Linked DNA regions of Stegostoma tigrinum. The protein of the gene in region 2 purifies or fractionates together with the protein of the main gene of each other region. This does not show direct contact. Links are inferred from orthologs where the notes say so. Each region holds a gene or a part of one and is shown on either strand. Other genes may lie near its edges.

Region 1 (9,866 bases), on a different chromosome or scaffold from region 2:
TGGATCCCCCTCGTTCTCACACACCACCCTACCAACCTCCGGATACAACGCATCATCCTCCGACACTTCCGCCATTTACAATCCGACCCCACCACCCAAGACATTTTTCCATCCTCACCCCTGTCTGCTTTCCGGAGAGACCACTCTCTCCGTGACTCCCTTGTTCGCTCCACACTGCCCTCCAACCCCACCACACTCGGCACCTTCCCCTGCAACCGCAGGAAATGCTACACTTGCCCCCACACCTCCTCCCTCACCCCTATCCCAGGCCCCAAGATGACATTCCACATTAAGCAGAGGTTCACCTGCACGTCTGCCAATGTGGTAAACTGCATCCACTGTACCCGGTGTGGCTTCCTCTACATTGGGGAAACCAAGCGGAGGCTTGGAGACCGCTTTGCAGAACACCTCCGCTCAGTTCGCAACAAACAACTGCACCTCCCAGTCGCAAACCATTTCCACTCCCCCTCCCATTCTCTAGATGACATGTCCGTCATGGGCCTCCTGCAGTGCCACAATGATGCCACCCGAAGGTTGTAGGAACAGCAACTCATATTCCGCCTGGGAACCCTGCAGCCTAATGGTATCAATGTGGACTTCACCAGTTTCAAAATCTCCCCTTCCCCTACTGCATCCCTAAACCAGCCCAGTTCGTCCCCTCCCCCCACTGCACCACACAACCAGCCCAGCTCTTCCCCCCCCGCCCACTGCATCCCAAAACCAGTCCAACCTGTCTCTGCCTCCCTAACCGGTTCTTCCTCTCACCCATCCCTTCCTCCCACCCCAAGCCGCACCCCCCGCTACCTACTAACCTCATCCCACCTCCTTGACCTGTCCGTCTTCCCTGGACTGACCCATCTCCTCCCTACCTCCCCACCTATACTCTCCTCTCCACCTATCTTCTTTTCTCTCCACCTTCGGTCCACCTCCCCCTCTCTCCCTATTTATTCCAGTTCCCTCCCCCCATCCCCCTCTCTGATGAAGGGTCTAGGCCCGAAACGTCAGCTTTTGTGCTCCTGAGATGCTGCTTGGCCTGCTGTGTTCATCCAGCCTCACATTTTATTATCTTGGAATTCTCCAGCATCTGCAGTTCCCATTATCTCAGATTTACGGACACTGTTTTCTTTATTATTGTTACTGTCTCATTTTCCAACAAAAAACAAATAGCTCACAGTCTTCACTGAAAGACACAACCAACTGCTCAATTTACAAATGAATATTAGCAATGAGTTCTGTGGATTGCTCAGACTCTATGTAATTGGTTAACCTTTTAAAACTGACTTTTATTCACTTTAAAAGAGAGATATTCTATACATATTTTCTAATCAACCTGTTCAGAGATGTTATTACATGGAGGAGGGGGGGGGGGGGGGGGGCTTTAACCACCCTATAATTACAACACATCCATGTGCCCAAATACTCCAAGGAAAAGTTCAGGATATTAACAAATTCCTCGTCAGTTATTCCAATCAACCCGATTGGACATGGTTGTTAGGTCTGATCTGTTGCCCCAGAGATAGGGTCACTATCACTGCTCCACATGACCCCTACATAGGATCGGGAGCTTAAATTCAACACTTTAGACTGCTTGGCCGCACCAAATTTCAAGAGATGTTCCATTCACTGCCACACAGAGCGGAAGCCAAAATAGCAATTACATTTGGAATTTGTTTGAAAAACAGAGTTAATGTTTTGGGTCCGGTGACCCTTCCTCAGAACTGTCACTGGACCCGAAACGTTAATTCTGTTTTGTCCTTCACAGATGCTGCCAGGCCTGCTGAGCTTTTCCAGCAACTTTGTTTTTGTTATCACAACAGCCACTTGAGTTTCCTGTCTTTCAAGCAAATTGTTGTGAAATGCTTTCTTTAAAAATAAATCACACAGCGTGGGCTTCACTGGCTTGAACCTACCAAGCCCTAATTGCCCAGAAACCAGTAAAGAGGCAACTGCATTGCTGTGGGTCTGCAGTGACATGTAGACCAGACCAGGTAGGACAGTGGAATTCCTGCCTTAAAAGGCATTACTGAAGCAGATGGGCTTCCCTCACAATCATCAACGTGGTCATTGTTAAGGTCTTAATTTCAGATTTTCATAGAATTCTAGTTCCAACAGCTGCCAAGATGGGATTCAAATGCAGGTCATCAGAACATTACCTGGGTCCCTGGATTATTAACCCAACAACAATACCACTAGGCCATCACCTCCCTACAGAGGTTGCAAGCAATGACCCTCCCAGTCCTCTCCCCCACCTCCAACCCCTGAAGGAAATCAGGGACACAAGGCTTCTATTAAGGAGGAGAAAATAGAGAGTTCCTCTCTTGGCTCATAGGTGGCCAGGAAAAACTCCAAAAAACTTTTCCAAAACTTCAAGGACAATTCAATGATGTCAGAAACAGCCGATTTCACTGGTCAATAGCTTGACAGGGTCGGGGAAAGGGAAACAAGGAAAGTATTGACTGGTTGGTTGGCTTCCTTCTACACTGCTAAATATTAGCACTTCCCACACACGGGACTCCTGTCAACAGAAAGGTGAAGGCAGCAGATCTAGGGGCATTAACAGCACTAAAGGTTGCCCAACCCTTTGTGTCTCTTTCCAAAGAAACTATTAAACTGGAGAGGGTTCAGGACAGATTAACCAGGATGTTAGAGATAACTTTTGGAGAAAATTTTCTGAAGAAGGGTCTCGGCCCAAAATGTCGGCGTTCCTGCTTCTCTGATGCTGCCTGGCCTGCTGTGTTCATCCGGCTCCACACTGTTTTATCTCTGACTCCAGCATCTGCAGTCTTTGCTATCTCTTAACCAGGATGTTGCTGGGTATGGAGGGTTTGAGTTATAAAGAAAGGCTGGATGGGCTGGGACTTTGTCACTGGAGCTTGGGAGGTTAAGAGGTGACTTGATAGAGGTTTATAAAATCATGAGTGGCATTGACAGGATTAACAGGAGCTATCTTTTAACTAGAATGGGTGATTTCAAATCTAGGGACACATTTTTAAGGTGTGAGGAGAGAGATTTAAAAAAAGACACAAGGGGCAAGTTTTTCTTTTACACAGAGGGTGGTTCGCACGTGGAACGAACCTCCCAAGAAGTTGTAATTGTACCAGTATCCACATCGTTTAAAAGACACTTGGTAAGTACATGAACAGGAAACATTTGCAGCAATATGGGCCAGGACCAGGCAGTTGGGACCAGCATAGTGTTCAGCACTGACTGAAGGGTCTGTTTCTGTGCTGTATAAGTCTATTCTCATGGCCCTGTTCTCACTCCAATGTATCCTACACCATTTCAAATATTTAGTCCATTTTTCCAGAAAAGATGTAAAATTCTATTACTTGAACGAGGGCATTCCACCAACCTGTGTAACGTCTCTCTCTTCACTTTTTATTTAATGACTACATTTCACTAGCTCCCCAAGCCATTTGGTTTAAACCCTTAAATCAGGGAAAGAGACTATTCTATTTCGTCTAAAAGTCACTGCTTTAGCAAAGGAACTCAAAGATCACAAATCACTCTTTGTAACTATTGTCCCTCCCTCCCAGTTAACCAGCGGCATCCTAGGGAGCTTGAAAGCACATCACTCTGATAGAATGTCTGGTGAGGGAACGCTCCTCCTAGCAGCTTGTGCAAGAGCTGGGAGAGGCCTAGGAGATCGTTAATATCCTCGTCTCTCCCCTGGGAAAGGGCAGCCAGCTCGAAAGCCCACAGAGCAATCAAGGAACGAGATATTCAAAAAGAGAGACGGAAGAGAAAATCGTCCTGATTCAAGTGAGCAAGCCCTTTAACTAACTCTGGACTCAAAAGCATATAATCACCTAGGGAAAGAAATCAGTACGAATTTAGCCAAGGAACCAAATGTTAAAAACGTTGAAAAAAAGCAACACAAGAGTGAAGTGCTGCCAGAAATCTGAAAGAAAAATGCTTGAAATCCGCTGATGGATACAAATTATTTGAGAGCATTAAATATAATGCTTATTTTACAAGAATCGATGCAGTAGAGACAATCCCTGCCCACCCCGAGAGGTATACTCACTCAGCCATGGTGCAATCTCAAATCTCTGGGCACTTGCTGCTGCGGGTTTGTTACATTTCAGCACTCAGATCCCGCCCCTCTAACACTTCTATTGGACAGCTGTGAGATTGATACACCGCGTTCTACGGGGAGACGCGCTATGATTGGACAACACGCCCATCAATCACAGACACGCGGAAGCTACGCGACTTCATCTTCAAGCCGGGGTTCGGAGCAGGCCATCACTGCCCTCTGCAAACCGAGAGCCCCGGGCCTTGGGGCTGTCCGAAGCGGGCAGTCCCAGGAACAGCCGATCGAGCCTGTCCTCACTCAGTCCCTTGATTTTGTGGGGTGACTCGCCTGGGCTTCAGCTAGCATCAGTTTTTTGCAAGTCAACATGACTTAACACTTTAGCAGGGGCAGAGCTTAGCAACCAGAGAGGGAGTGTGTGCATGGCATATGGGTGGGGGAAGTCAGGCTCCAGCACAGTGCTGCAATAAAAAAAAACTGCGAATGTGGAAATCTTGAAACAGAAAAGCAGAAACAACCGGAGAAACTCAGCAGGGCTGTCAGAATCGGTGGAGAGAGAGCGAGAGTGAGTTAATGTTTCGAGTCTAGTGACCCTTCTTCAGAACTGGTCCAATAATGTGCTTCCGGACAGCCTGAACTCACCAGCGGAGACTCCCCCCACAGTCTATCCCTGGCCATTGATTATGAATGGATAGGAGGAAATGACATTGTGAAAAATTAATCTTGCAATTCCTAAAGGGAAATCCCACATCTTTGCAAGACTTTTGACCTCATCCTTCACAGAGGACTGCTCAGTACCACAGTAAGAGCAGGAAATAGGGAACATCTGTCTAGTTTGTTGGTTCAGTTACGGACAGGGCAGATTTTCCTAGCCAATGAGAGCAGGCCTCTTTGATGTCAATCTGTAGCGATCAGCCAGGGCCAGATTTGTCATGCTCTTATGAAAGGTCATCAAACTGAAACATTACACGAAACTTTTGAGGGTCAGGAGGGCGTTGTGTATCAGGACAAGTGAGTTACAATTCGACCCCAGATCGCCAATTCCTCAGCTTCATGCTACATCCAGGCAATTGGCTCATGATAGGGGTGGGTGGGGGAAGGAGGGGGAGTAGAGGAATGGGGATGAATTCAGATAGTTAATGACCACGCGGACTTCCAGTTCCATTCGGCCATCAGAAAGGGAACAGTGTTGTGTGGAGGTAACTTCTTGGCAGCAGGCTGGTGAGCTCAGCTGCAGCCAGGTTTGAGGACCTCACAGTCTGCCTATATTTACCCTAGCACAAGTCACCTTGTGGAGTGGTGGCCCATGTGACAAGGCACATTTTATTTAAGTTTTTTATTGAAGTTGTAGTTAAGTCTCCATCACCTTTGCCACCTTCTCCTGTAATTAATTCCAAATATACTGTTCTGCTTATTCCAAGCTGGGGTCCCCTTATTGTCCCTTGCAGTTTGAGAGCCCACCCAAACTGAGGGATTGTTTCCCTCAGAGGCAGGTCTTTGAACTTCATGTAAACCTGATGGTGGAGTCCCAACCCCTCAATCTGCTTCTCTCTCTCTCTCTCTTCCCCAGCTCCCTCTGGACGCAGCAATTTGTTTTTATTTCAGATCTCTCACTTGGCTGCTCAACACCATGAGTAAGAATATCTCTACCAGTACAAAACATGGCACATTGATAAATCCAGGGACCATATAATTGGCCAAGTTACTACCTGCTAGATCTCCAGCATGTGCAGTTTTTTTTTATTTTTGGGGTCTTGTTTGATGTAATATCCAAACTCAAATTGAAACTGACACAATCGCCAGCCAAGTGATATCTCCTCGAGTCTAATTCCGTGACAAAAACTTTAAAATGTAATTTTGTTTAGAAGTATCCAAAGCAGAACAGCCAAAGGGAACTCTGCAGAAGGGTCACTGGACCTGAAATGTTAACTGCTTCTTTCTCCAAAATGCTGCCAGACCTACAGAGTTTTCCCAGCAATTTCTATTATCAGTTTCAGATCTTTCCCCCGGCCCCCTCCCAGTTTCTTTGTTTTATTTCCCATTGATGTCGCCGGTTGGAGTCGAACAGCACTTTGAAAAGAACAAAACCTACGAGATCACCACACTCAAAACATTAACTCTGTTTCTCTTGCCACAGTTGCTGCTAGCCTTGCTGAGTTTCTCCTACACTTTCTATTTCTGCTGCAGAGCAGAAATTGAGCTCATCGTGGCAGAATCTGACAATCCAGGAGGAAGAGAGGGTAGGTTGCTCTGCTTCCTTGAGCCTGGTCTGCCATTCGATAAGCACAGAGCTGGCCTGGAATACACCCTATACCCACCTACCACCCCCAGTAACCCCTCACCCCTCTTGCATTTCAAAGTTCCAGCAGACACAGTCCTAGCCTGTGCAACTTTTCCTTATCACTCCTGCTCCATTCCAAGCATTAGGCCAGAAAACCACCTCTGAATTGCTCCAGTCCAACCTGTCTCTGCCTCCCTAACCTGTTCTTCCTCTCACCCATCCCTTCCTCCCACCCTAAGCCACACCTCCATCTCCTACCTACTAACCTCATCCCACCTCCTTGACCTGTCCGTCTTTCCTGGACTGACCTATCCCCTCCCTACCTCCCCACCTATACTCTCCTCTCCACCTATCTTCTTTTCTCTCCATCTTCGGTCCGCCTCCCCCTCTCTCCCTATTTATTCCAGAACCCTCCCACCCCCCTCTCTGATGAAGGGTCTAGGCCCAAAATGTCAGCTTTTGTGCTCCTGAGATGCTGTTGGGCCTGCTGTGTTCATCCAGCCTCACATTTCATTATCCTGAATTGCTCCTTATGTATTTACAACTTTCATTAAATAAGGTGACAATGCTCTGTACTCCAGACATAGTCTCACTAATGCTCTCCACGATCCTGGTACTTTTACGTTCGTTATCCTTGTGATAATGGCATCTTTAGCTTACCTAATTACTTGCTGTACCTTTTGTGATTAATACACTGAGACACCCAGATCTCTCTGCATCTCTGAGCTCCGTACTATCTCATCATTTTGATAATATGCTCTTTCACTGTTCCTGGCAAATCAACATTTTTACATTTTCCCACACAATACTCTGTTTGTCAGATCCTCGCCCACTCACCTAACCCACATCTATTTGGAACCTCATTAGGTCGTCTTCACAAGTTACTTCCTTATCTATCTTTGTGACATTGGCAAATTTAGCAACATTCTTATGGTCCCTTCATTCAAGTTGTGTATACAAATTGTAAAACGTACAAAGCCATGTGGCACATCTTGCCAATCAGAAAATGACTAATAATGCCTATTAATTCCTGTGAGCTGGCTAATCTCTTCATTCTAATATGTATCCATACACCAAAGAGCTTTTATTTTCTGTAATAACTTTTGATGTGGAACCGTATCAAATATCCTTTTGCAAATTAATCAGTACATCCATAATTCTTCAACAAGCTCCAATAATTTTCTTGCAATAAATGCCAATGTGGCATTTGCCTTTCAAATTGCTTTCTACACCAACGTATTGGTTTTCAGTGACAATCAATATTTCCTAATCCCTTAAAGGAAAACTCTGTACTTGCATATCTTCATACTTATCCAGTGTATTCCATCAGCCTTGTTCTTGCCCATTGAGTCACATTATCCAAATCCATTTGAAATTACATTGCAACATCCTTACAACATATTCTCAACTAGTTTTATGACAGAGATAAACTTGGGAACATGAACACTCAGTTTCCACATCCTATTCATACAGATTGTGAACAGGTGACACCATGCACTGATCATTGCTGTATGCCACTAGATGCATCCTGTGAACCTGAATGACCTAATTATTCAAGATCTGTTTTGTCTCTTAACTGATCCTTAATCCATGCCAAAACATTACTCTCAATTCCACGTGCTTTAGTTTTTTTTTAAACTTCCCGATACCAGCGCAGAAGCCTTTCAAAAGCCCAGCTGTACCGGTTTCCAGCGAGTTTTGAGAAGATTTGTAGCTCAGGTTGAGGTTCTGGATGTGAGTTTGCTCGCTGAGCTGGAAGGTTCGTTTTCAGACGTTTTGTCACCATTCTAGGTAACATCATCAGTGAGCCTCCGACAAAGCGCTGGTGTTATGTCCCGCTTTCTATTTATCTGGTTAGGTTTCCTTGGGTTGGTGATGTCATTTCCTGTTCTTTTTCTCAGGGGATAGTAGATTGGCTCCAAATCAATGTGTTTGTTGATGGAGTTCCGGTTGGAATGCCATGCTTCTAGGAATTCTCGTGCATGTCTCTGTTTGGCTTGTTCTAGGATGGATGTGTTGTCCCAATCAAAGTGGTGTCCTTCCTCATCTGTATGTAAGGATACTAGTGATAGTGGGTCATGTCGTTTTGTGGCTAGTTGATGTTCATGTATCCTGGTGGCTAGCTTTCTGCCAGTTTGTCCAATGTAGTGTTTGTCACAGTTCTTGCAAAGTATTTTGTAAATGACGTTTCTTTTGCTTGTTGTCTGTATAGGGTCTTTTAAGTTCATTAGCTGCAGTTTTAGTGTGTTGGTGGGTTTGTGGGCTACCCTGATGCCAAGGGGTCCGAGTAGTCTGGCAGTCATTTCGGAAATGCTTTTGATGTAGGGGAGAGTGGTTATGGTTTCTGAGCCCGTTTTGTCTGTTTGTTTGGGTTTGTGGCTGAGAAATCGGCGGACTGTGTTCATTGGGTACCTGTTCTTTTTGAATACGCTGTATAGGTGATTTTCCTCTGCTCTGCGTAGTTCCTCTGTGCTGCAGCGTGTGGTGGCTCGTTGAAATAATGTTCTAATAATGTACTGGTTTCCCCCTCATCGGCCCTGCTAGTACCATAATCGAAAGGACCTCACCAGGTTTGTTAAATAAGTTTTCCCATTCACAAATCCACCTTCACTTCACCCAATCAAATCATTATTTTCTAATTCAACAAAATGTGAGGCTGGATGAACATAGCAGGCCAAGCAGCATCTCCGGAGCACAAAAGCTGACGTTTCGGGCCTAGACCCTTCCTCGGAGAGGGAACTGGAATAAATAGGGAGAGAGGGGGAGGCGGACCGAAGATGGAGAGTAAAGAAGATAGGTGGAGAGAGTGTAGGTGGGGAGGTAGGGAGGGGATAGGTCAGTCCAGGGAAGACGGACAGGTCAAGGAGGTGGGATGAGGTTAGTAGGTAGCTGGGGGTGCGGCTTGGGGTGGGAGGAAGGGATGGGTGAGAGGAAGAACAGGTTAGGGAGGCACAGACAGGTTGGACTGGTTTTGGGATGCAGTGGTGGGGGGGAAGAGTTGGGCTGGCTGTGTGGTGCAGTGGGGGGAGGAGACGAACTGGGCTGGTTTAGGGATGCAGTAGGGGAAGGGGAGATTTTGAAACTGGTGAAGTCCACATTGATACCATTAGGCTGCAGGGTTCCCAGGCGGAATATGAGTTGCTGTTCCTGCAACCTTCGGGTGGCATCATTGTGGCACTGCAGGAGGCCCATGATGGACATGTCATCTAAAGAATGGGAGGGGGAGTGGAAATGTTTTGCGACTGGGAGGTGCAGTAGTTTGTTGCGAACTGAGCAGAGGTGTTCTGCAAAGCGGTCTCCAAGCCTCCGCTTGGTTTCCCCAATGTAGAGGAAGCCACACCGGGTACAGTGGATGCAGTATACCACATTGGCAGATGTGCAGGTGAACCTCTGCTTAATGTGGAATGTCATCTTGGGGCAGTTCGCAACAAACTACTGCACCTCCCAGTCGCAAACCATTTCCACTCCCCCTCCCATTCTCTTGATGACATGTCCATCATGGGCCTCCTGCAGTGCCACAATGATGCCACCCGAAGGTTGCAGGAACAG
Region 2 (9,942 bases):
TTTCCTCTAACTAAATATTGATATTCCAAATGAAGTTCATTGGACTCAAAATGTCAACTATTTCCCTCCCTGTTTTGATGGACCGGCTGTCTCTAACAGTTTTCATTTTGGATTTTAAACATCTGCAGTATTTTGCTTTTAAATATTAAGACTAAAACCACTGTCACAAACTCCTTTTGCTACTAACTCAATCCTGCCACTATCTACTGCTGAATCAGATCATTCATAACTTTACTACTATATCTGAGCCAATAAATGAGTTTCCAAGTCCATATCCAGTGTCACTGCCAAGTATTTCCACCTTATAACAGTACCTCGCCTCAGCACACCTACTGCTAGTATCATCATCCATGCCTTACTTAGACTCGAAATTCCAACACACACCTGGCCAGCTTTCTGTCTTCTCCCCTCCAAAAACTAAAGCCTACCTACATCCTAATTTGCACTATGTTCCATTATCCACTGCTCCTGAACTTCACTGAATTCCAAGTTGAGCAAAGCTGCAGTTTTAAATTTTTAATTCCATTTTTAGGACGCTGTTGGCTCCTTCTTACCTGTGCAGTTTCTTCTGCAAAACTTCAAGACATCTGCAAGCCACTTTTTGCACATCACTGATTTTAATTGCTCAACCAATGGCAACCATGCCTTCAGTTGCTGAAGCCATTATTTCCAATTCTCTGCAAACTTCTTGGTCTCTCTTCCTTTTGTTTCTCCTTCAAGATGCTGCTTAAAACCGTTGGTCATTTGCACTAATCTCATTATGTGAATCAGTGTCACATGTTGTTTAATAGAACTTAAGGACCCAATGACATTTTAGACATTAAAAATATTATATAAATGCATATCTAATTTCCATTTATAAAGGAAAAAGAAAAACAAAATTAGTGGCCATCAATGCAATGCAAGACAGTCACTAAAGAAAACAGACAATTCAAGAAACTTCTTTACAAGTGGGCAGTGAGAATCGCCGAGTAGTTGGTTTGAAAAGTATAGATGCATTTAAGAGAAAATTAGATAGAGAATAGGAGGGCCTACTGGTAACAGTCAGATAAGAAAGGATGGGAGGAAGCTTGAGGAGGGCACAAATGCAGGGCCGGACTAGATGGGTTGAATAGCTAATTTCTGTGCTGTATATAGTCCTGTAGTATCATCTCATCATATCTCATTGTTGGGGAAGACCAATCTGTCTGCCACATTTCCCTGTACAGTCTCAGCAATTTATTGGCTGCAAAGTGCTTTAGGATGAGGTCATAAGAGATACTTTAGAGATACAAATTTATTTTCCTTTTCTAAATAGTTTCTTTAAAATGCAGAACTCAGTAACTCAAAATTTCAAATGGCTTAAAATTCCTTTTAAATGCTCATACAAGCCTGCAATAAATATAGGCTGGATGCACATTTATTGCCCATCCCTAGTTGTCCTTGAGGGGCTGTGGTGAGCCACCTCCTTGAACCACTGCATTTGTGTCACTGTATACACAACTCTAGATTGGAGGGAACAACTGCTGGAAGGTAAAATATAAAGGCACAATGAATCAAAATATAAACATTTGCAATTACTAATAGATACATCAATCTCAGTTCTGCTTTTAGACATGTATCACATTTTGGTAACCTCTTAAAACAAATCATCTCTCCATTTATTAAGCAGAAATTTGACTTTTTTCATTCCTTGCCATTACAAATCTACACTCAAAGTTTCCCAAACAATTTGGGACATGTTAGCAGCACATGAACTACTATTTAAAAACCTCCCCGTTCATCACTTTTGAAAAATCTCTACTAGAAAAGGGGAAACCAGCTACTATTAATTCAAGTCAGAAGTCACCTGGCATCAGGTTATAGTCCAACGGGTTTATTTAAAATGTTTACTTGTTACTTTGGTTAGACCCTTATCAAGCAACTCTGATACCTACTGATGTTATTCCAGCATTTGGTTGGCTCTAGCACCATCTTATTTTTGACTATTTATAATATCTCTCTGCCTGAATTAATCAGTCCACAGGTAATCCCTTCAATTCTTATTTAGCTTGTTGACACGTTACTCGCCGTTTGACACTCCTGATCACCTGCAAAGACTTGTTATTCAGCCCGTCATCCACCACTCATTATTTGTACTTATCTATTGACACTCTTAATTACTTGGAATTATCTTGCCATTATCTCTCCATCTATATACTCTGCGCCCATGCCCTTCACTCCACTTCACCCGATGAAGGAGCAGTGCTAAAAAGCTTGTGATTTAAATAAATTTGGACTATAACTCAGTGTCATGTAACTTCTGACTTTATCCACCACAGTCACATTGGTATCTCCACATTATGAATTAAAGAAAAGAGACTGAAAAACCACTGATATTGTATAACCAATATGTTATTTCAGTCGTAGATGTGTACAATTGGGTCACAAGTTTCAATTATCTTTGAAGTGTGGTTGCAAGTTGGAAAACATAAAAGAAAACTTACATTTAGAGCAGGACACATCGTAATTGTAAGTGCAAGATTTCCAACAAAAGCTCCTCAACAAAAATCGTAAGTCACCTTCTGGTAGATCTGTTATGCTTTCAACCACCCTCTGTTTTCATTTTCTCCACAGCTAGCACCTCACTCACTTCCTCCAATACCATTCTTAAAATGTGTATCTTTTTGATTACACCATCAGTAACCTTTCCTACTTCTCACAAAAATACATTTTTTCTGTTAAAAAGAAAAGAACATCACAAACCTAATTCCCTGACCACTTAAGGCAAGACTGGACCCTAAAGAACAAACACAGAAGTTGATTACCAAAAGAACTGCAGTTGCTGTAAATCAGGAACAAAAACAAAGTTGCTGGAAAAGCTCAGCAAGTCTGGCAGCATCTGTGGAGGAGAAAACAGAGTTAATGTTTCAGGTTCGGTGACCCTTCCTCAGAAAGCTCAGTAGGTGTGGCAGCATCTATGAAGAAAAATAAGAGTTAATATTTTGGGTCCTGTGAACCTTCTTCAGAACTGCTGAACTTTTCCAACAACTTCTGTTGTTGTTCCTGATTTATAGCATCCATAGTTCTTACAGTGGACATTAAATAAGCCTTGTGAAATCAATATCCATTCCGAAATAAAAAGAAATGCTTGTGGCCACACTTCTTGGATACATCTCCACTAATTCAGCAGCCAGAAGGAAATCAAAAATTTCCAATCGTCAGGCATGCCATGTAAGAAGCAACTTCCTTTGACGAAAGCCATTCTTTAAAAATGAATACAATTTCTTGATTAAATAGAACTGCAATATATATTTTTAATATTGCACATTCTCACAATAAAAACCAAAGAACAGCGATACTTGAAACCAGAAACAAAAACAGAAGTTGCTGGGAAAGTTCACAACATCTGTGGAGAGAGCAAGCAGTGTTAATGTTTCGGGTCTATAGACCTTTCTTCAGAACTCCAATTCTCGCCTTTGCTTCAGTGCAAGTCCACTCGGCCCCATCTTAAAACTTCAAAAAGTTTTTAAAAGTGACTCCTACCGTATCTTCAAATGTTGACAGTTCACATCGCAACTCGGCTGGAGTTGACATACACTCTCCAAAAAGTTATGGATGGAGGCTTTTTAAACGGGACAAAGTTCAAGGATTATAACGGAGGCGAATGTTATTTCAAATTCAAACAGTGAACCCAACTGCAGTAAGGTGCCGGCATTTTATGATATTATGAGAAAGAATGGTGTTCCTTGTTTATTATTCTGCGATCCGAGCAGGTATATAAACATCGTTCTACTTTGACTCACCTCTGAGAAGAGCCATGCTATAAGACCGCCTCCACTCAAAGCCCTTCACTGTCAAACACAGAGAGCTTTCACCTACAGCTAGTTCTCCATCCGAGAGACAACATTCACTACGCTGGCCCTCATCACAATTGTCAAGCGCCTCATCGCAGCACAAAATGAAACAGAGGCCTTACAAAAGAACAAAACCCTGAGGCATAATTTAACTGAATAAGTTAATTAAATTTGCCCTATGAGACAAAGGGCGGATGACGAAACCTCAAGCCAGAATGATAAAATACATAATTTGGTACCTTCATGATAGACAGGGAGTCTATTTAAATCGCGCAGGGTTGATGATTGACATTTAAATGGACCGGTAGCAACAGGGAGTCCTACACAGTAGGCGGGGTTCTGGTCAGGCTGGCAGCGGCGACAAGTTCTGCGCATGCGCGGCAGCGGACGGGCGGTGCGGCTTAGTTTGAGGTAGCTTGAAAGTTTTGCTTCAAAGTAATGGAAATGGTGTTTGGCCGAGAGGAGCCGAGTTGGTCTTTTTTTTAGTGGGAAGAGGGACTAAAAACGACTCTTGATTTGTCAAAGATAATAAAATGTGAGGCTGGATGAACACAGCAGGCCAAGCAGCATCTCAGGAGCACAAAAGCTGACGTTTCGGGCCTAGACCCTTCATCAGAGAGGCCCGAAACGTCAGCTTTTGTGCTCCTGAGATGCTGCTTGGCCTGCTGTGTTCATCCAGCCTCACATTTTATTATCTTGGAATCTCCAGCATCTGCAGTTCCCATTATCTCTTGATTTGTCTGACTGAGTGAGTGTGAAATCGTTCCCCAGATGAACCTGTCTATTTTCCTTATATGATCGGGCCCTTGTTTGAGGATCCGGAGATGATTAAACTAACTTCGTGATGGGACCGTCTGAGTGGGTGAATGAATGGCTGTGTGCATCATTTTAAATTTAATCTTGGATGGAGTTTTCAGAGTAGGTTCAAGGAGCTGGGAGAGCAGCAGTGAATAATAACTGGAACTTTGATTGCTTTAGTTGATTTGGATAGGAAGTGGGGTGGATGTGGGGATTTGTTTCAGGCAGGTGCTTGATATGTAAAATATGGTCGATGATGACTAGCCCACTGCGCAATCCGAGTTCCACAATGAACCTGAATGATGGAATTAGTGCTGGAAAATGTCTGAGACCCGCATATGAACAATAATATTAGGCTGAATGATGGGATTTTCTTAGGTAGGACACGTCAGATATTCGTGAAGACATCTGAATGGGTATTTTTTTCAAACTAAACTAATCCCATCTGCCTGCCTTTGGCCCATATCACTCCAAACTTTTCCTGTTCATGTAAGTATTTAAATGTTACGTCTGTATCCGCATCTGCCACTTTCCCTGGCAGTTTATTCTACACGCTAACCTTTTTTTAAAGAGTCGCCCCTGATGTCCTCTTTTACATCTTTCTCCTCTTGTCTTACGAGTATGCCCCCTAGTTTTGAACTCCGCCCCCCCCCCCCCACCTTAGGGAAAGACCTTTGCTATTCATCTTACCAATGCCCCTAATGATCTTAAAAATTAAGTCAGCCCTCAAGCTCTTACCCTCCAGTGTAAAAAAAAAAGTCATTGTCTAGCTTAATCCTCAAATTTTCGATTCCCAATAACATCCTGGTAAATCATTTCTGATAAAGAGTCAATAGACCCAAAATATTAACTCTGATTTTGCTCCACAGATGCTGTCAGACCTGCTCAGTTTTTCCAGCAATTTGTTTTTGTTTCAGACTTCCAGCATCTACAGATCTTTCAGTTGTTAAATCTTTTCTAAACTTGTCCAGTTTAATAATATGCTTCCTGTAACAGGGTGACCAGAACTGCACACAGTATTCCAGAAGAGGCCTCACCAACATCCTGTACAATGTGACATGCCAGCTCCTATACCGTTCTGAGGAAGGGCCACCAACCTGAACATTTACCTTCTCAGATGCTGCCAGACCTGCAGAGCTTTTCCAACAATTTCTGTTTTTGTTCCTATATTCAAAGGTCTAAGCAGGGAATGCAAGTGTGCTAAACTGCTTAACCACCCTCTCTACCTATGACACAAATCTACCGACATCACCAACTGCTGTGCAATTGAAAAGGGAATGGAAACCAATTAATCGGCAATTTTTTTTAAACACGCAATTGACCCATCCTCAATACTGCTTAAAGAAAAACCAAAAGAACTGCAGATGTTGTAAATTGGAGACAAAAATAGAAATTGCTAGAAAAGCTGAGAAGGTCTGGCAGCATCTGTGGTGAGAAATCAGAGTTAACATTTTGGGTCAAATGGAGCCTTTCTGAGGAAGAGTCACTGAACCCTAACCATTAACTGATTTTTCTCCACATATACTGGCAGACTTGCTGAGCTTTGCAGAAATTTCTACTGTTGTTTTAATGCTATGTATGTTATTGTGCACATGTATGTTAAATGTGTTCAGATTTTACTAAGTATACTAGATGAGGGCAGATGTTGTGTTTGGTTCTGATACCCTTTGGCTGAATACTATGCTGGACTGTATTTTCCAATTGACATATTAATGGAACTCATTAATTTTACAAATAAGTGTGTAATTTCCTTACCTGTTTGGAATTGAATGCATATTGCAGCAACCACAATCATTTGGTAATCCCCATGTTTGTGTTTATTTTTAAAAATGCATATATGCTATTAAGTTACCAACTACTTGGAGTTGAGGTTAAAATAAGAATTGTTCTGTCGCACATTCTTCCCTATCTAAATCACTGCTTCACATATCATGAAATCTGAGTTCAGTGGGTAAGAGGGAAGGCAAGTAGAATGTCTTTATTTCAAAGGGAATGGTGTATAAATTGGGAAAGGTTTTGCTGAAACAATACAAGGCATTAGTTAGACCATAGCAGGAATACTATGAACAGTTTTAGGCCTGTTACCTAAGGAAGGATATACCAGCATTGGAGCCAGTCCACAGAAGGTTAGCTAGGCTAATACTGGGTATGGAGGGACTGTGTTTTTAGGAGAGATTTGAGCAGAGTGGGCCTGAACTTCTTAGAGAAGACAAACATACAAAATTCTTAGGGGTCTTGACAGGGTAGATGTGGAAGAATTGTTTCCCCTTGTGGGAGAGCTTTAGGACAAGAGGACATAATCTGAATAAGGGGCTTCACACTTAAGACAGATGAGGAAGAATTTCTGAGGGTAGTGAATCAGTGGAATTCTTTGCTGCAAAGAGCTGCAGAGGCTAGGCCGGTAAATGTGTTCAAAGCTGAGATTTTTTTTATCAGTAAGGGAATACAGTTCTGGGGAAGCCAGGAAACTGGAGTTCAGGATTATCAGATCAACCATGATCTCATTGAATAGCCTATTTCTACTCCTACTTCTATTTGGTCATTACCAATTGTTACTAGTGTCACATTATCTGTGAAATTTTATTCACTGCACTATATTGTAATTTCTAAGTCAATGATGCATAATCATGAAGATGACATAATCATGAAACATTACTACAGCTTTTTTTCTGGTCATGCAAAAAATTCATATCCATGTTGCAACTGCCCCTTTTATTCCATGAGTACTAATTTGCTTGTAAATTTGTTGTGTGTACTTTATCAAATGCCTTTTTGAAGTCCATGTACACCACATCAACAGCATCATCCTCATCAAACCTCTGATACTAAAACAAAATAGCAGACAAATTAGTTAAACGTGATGTGCACTAATCGTGTTAGTTTTTTTAAAGAATTAATCTGCATCTGCCAAAGTGATTATTAATTTTATCCTGAATTATTCGTGTAAAAAAAATCTCTCCATAATGGAGGTTAAACTGATGGGTATACAGTTTCTCATCTTTGTACCTTTTCGAACAAGGGTGCAACATTTTGCAATTCTCCAGTCTTCTAGCACCAACTAAGTGGAAAGAGGATTAAAAGTTATGGCCAATACCTGCTTTCTCAATTCACTTCTCAGTAAAATTGAGTGCATCTTACCCTACTGCCTTCAGCTGTGCACCACGTTGTCCCACAAGAAAGAAAGAGAAAAATGTATTCAATGATTCTCATATAATCCATCTGGATGCTGTGTTTGTCATAAAACAAATTGCAGTTCAAACCCAATAAGTTTGGCAGCAACTGTGGAGAAAAAGCAGAATTAATGTTTTGAGTTCAGGGACAATTCTTCAGACCTGATAGTCACTGTCATGTTTGAATAGTTGGTTTAAGTATGCAAGCTGTGAGATGTTAGGGTGAGGCTTGCAACAGTGCTATGCGTATGAAATTGGAGTGAACTATGTGAACATGAAGTACAATCTCTGACCGATATATTGTTGGTAAATACAGGATAGGAGTACATGCCCAAGGCAAGTGATAAAGCTGATAAGACCCAGCATTGAAAATGCCGCCACTGATTTTGACATTTGAAATTTTGAAGCACTGCTGCAAGCTGCCTTGGGCTGGATCTGCCATTGATATTCAGGGATGTCTGCTCCTGCTTCCTTTTATATGTGTGATTGAAAATCTTGGCCCCCAGCAGATGGGACAACTTTCGTATTTTTCACTAAAGTCATAGAGTAATACAGCATGAAAATAGACCCTTTGATCCAATTTGTCCATGTAAACCAGATATACTAAATTGATCTAGTCCCAATTGCTGGCATTTGGCTCATTTCCCTCCTAACCCTTCCTGTTCACGTGGCTGTCCGGATGTCTTTTAACGGTGGCTCAGTCGTTAGCACTGCAGTCTCACAGCACCAGGGACCCGGGTTCAATTCCAGCCTGGGGTAACTGTCTGTGTGGAGTTTGCACATTCTGCCTGTGTCTGGTGGGTTTCCTCCGGGTGCTCCGGTTTCCTCCCACAGTCCAAAGATGTGCAGGCTAGGTGGATTGGCCATGCTAAATTGTCCAAAATGTTCAGAGGTGCGTGGGTTATAGGGGATTGGGTCTGGGTGGGATATATCAAGGGGCAGTGTGGACTTGTTGGGCCAAAGGGCCTGTTTCCACACTGTAGGGATTCTAATTTAATCTAATCAAAATGTCGTAATTGTACATGCCTCCATCAGTTCCTCTGGCAGTTCATTCCACACACACCACTCTGCATGAAAATGTTCACCTCTCACCTTTATAGTTATGCTATCTGGTTTTGAGCCCTGCACCCTGAGAAAAAGACCTTGGCTATTCATCCGATCCATGCCTTTACTGATTCTGTAAACCTCTATAAGGGCACCCTTCAGCCTGTGACACTCCAGGGAAAAAAACCCCAGCCTATTCAGTGTGGAGCTGCACAAACGTAGCAGGCTAGGCAGTATCAGAGGAGCAGGAATGTTGACTTTTCGGGTCGAGACCCAGAAGAATCCTGATCCAAAATGTCAATTTTCCTGCTCCTGTAATGCTGTCTGGTGAGCTGTGTTCCTTGAGTTCCACACTGTTGTCTCTGACTCCAGTATCTGCAGTTCTTGCTATCTCCCAGCCTATTCAGTCCCTCTCAGTAGCTCAAGCCCTCCAATCACAGCAACATCCTTGTAAGTCGAAGATTGTCAAGATATGAAATTTCCTGGCTAAAAAGAACTATTGTTGCTGCAGAGACCATAACTATTTTGTTAAATATGATTGTGCCTTAAAATTTTTAAAGGTTATGCATAATGAGCCTGTTCAAAGGGCTGAATGGGATACTACTGCTCCTGATTCATATCTTTTTATTTCAGATTAAACTAGATAACTGAAATGGAAGCTTACAGGGTGTGATATGGATGAAAGCAAGCATGCAGGTACAGTAGGCAGTGAAGAAAGCTAATGGCATGCTGGCCTTCGTAACAAGAGGAATTGAGTATAGGAGCAAAGAGGTCCTTCTGCAGCTGTACAGGGCCCTGGTGAGACCGCACCTGGAGTATTGTGTGCAGTTTTGGTCTCCAAGTTTGAGGAAGGACATTCTTGCTATTGAGGGAATGCAGCATAGGTTCACGAGGTAAATTCCCAGAATGGCGGGACTATCTTATGTTGAAAGATTGGAGCCACTGGGCTTGTATACACTTGAGTTTAGAAGGATGAGAGGGGATCTGATTTTAAGGTATAAGATTATTAAGGGATCGGACACTCTGGAGGCAGGAAGCATGTTTCTGCTGACGAGTGAGTCCAGAACCAGAGGACACAGTTTAAAAATAAGGGGTAGGCCATTTAGAACAGAGTT

What was found. Proteins that work in one complex are often made in the same cells at the same time.
Region 1: the proteins of acaa2 (region 2) and pgd fractionate together in Homo sapiens (co-fractionation; 3 studies listed by BioGRID). This does not show direct contact. The link is inferred for Stegostoma tigrinum from reciprocal best matches to the Homo sapiens genes ACAA2 and PGD.

Annotation. Positions count from the first base shown.
Region 1 is NC_081381.1:13,758,744-13,768,609, forward strand, and holds the start of pgd (6-phosphogluconate dehydrogenase, decarboxylating), read right to left. Parts: upstream 4,137-9,866; 5' UTR 4,036-4,136; coding exon 4,028-4,035; intron 1-4,027. UniProt on the Homo sapiens protein: Catalyzes the oxidative decarboxylation of 6-phosphogluconate to ribulose 5-phosphate and CO(2), with concomitant reduction of NADP to NADPH.
Region 2 is NC_081354.1:158,737,405-158,747,346, reverse strand, and holds the start of acaa2 (3-ketoacyl-CoA thiolase, mitochondrial), read right to left. Parts: upstream 3,926-9,942; 5' UTR 3,781-3,925; coding exon 3,765-3,780; intron 3,732-3,764; exon of another isoform or gene 3,505-3,731; intron 1-3,504. UniProt on the Homo sapiens protein: In the production of energy from fats, this is one of the enzymes that catalyzes the last step of the mitochondrial beta-oxidation pathway, an aerobic process breaking down fatty acids into acetyl-CoA.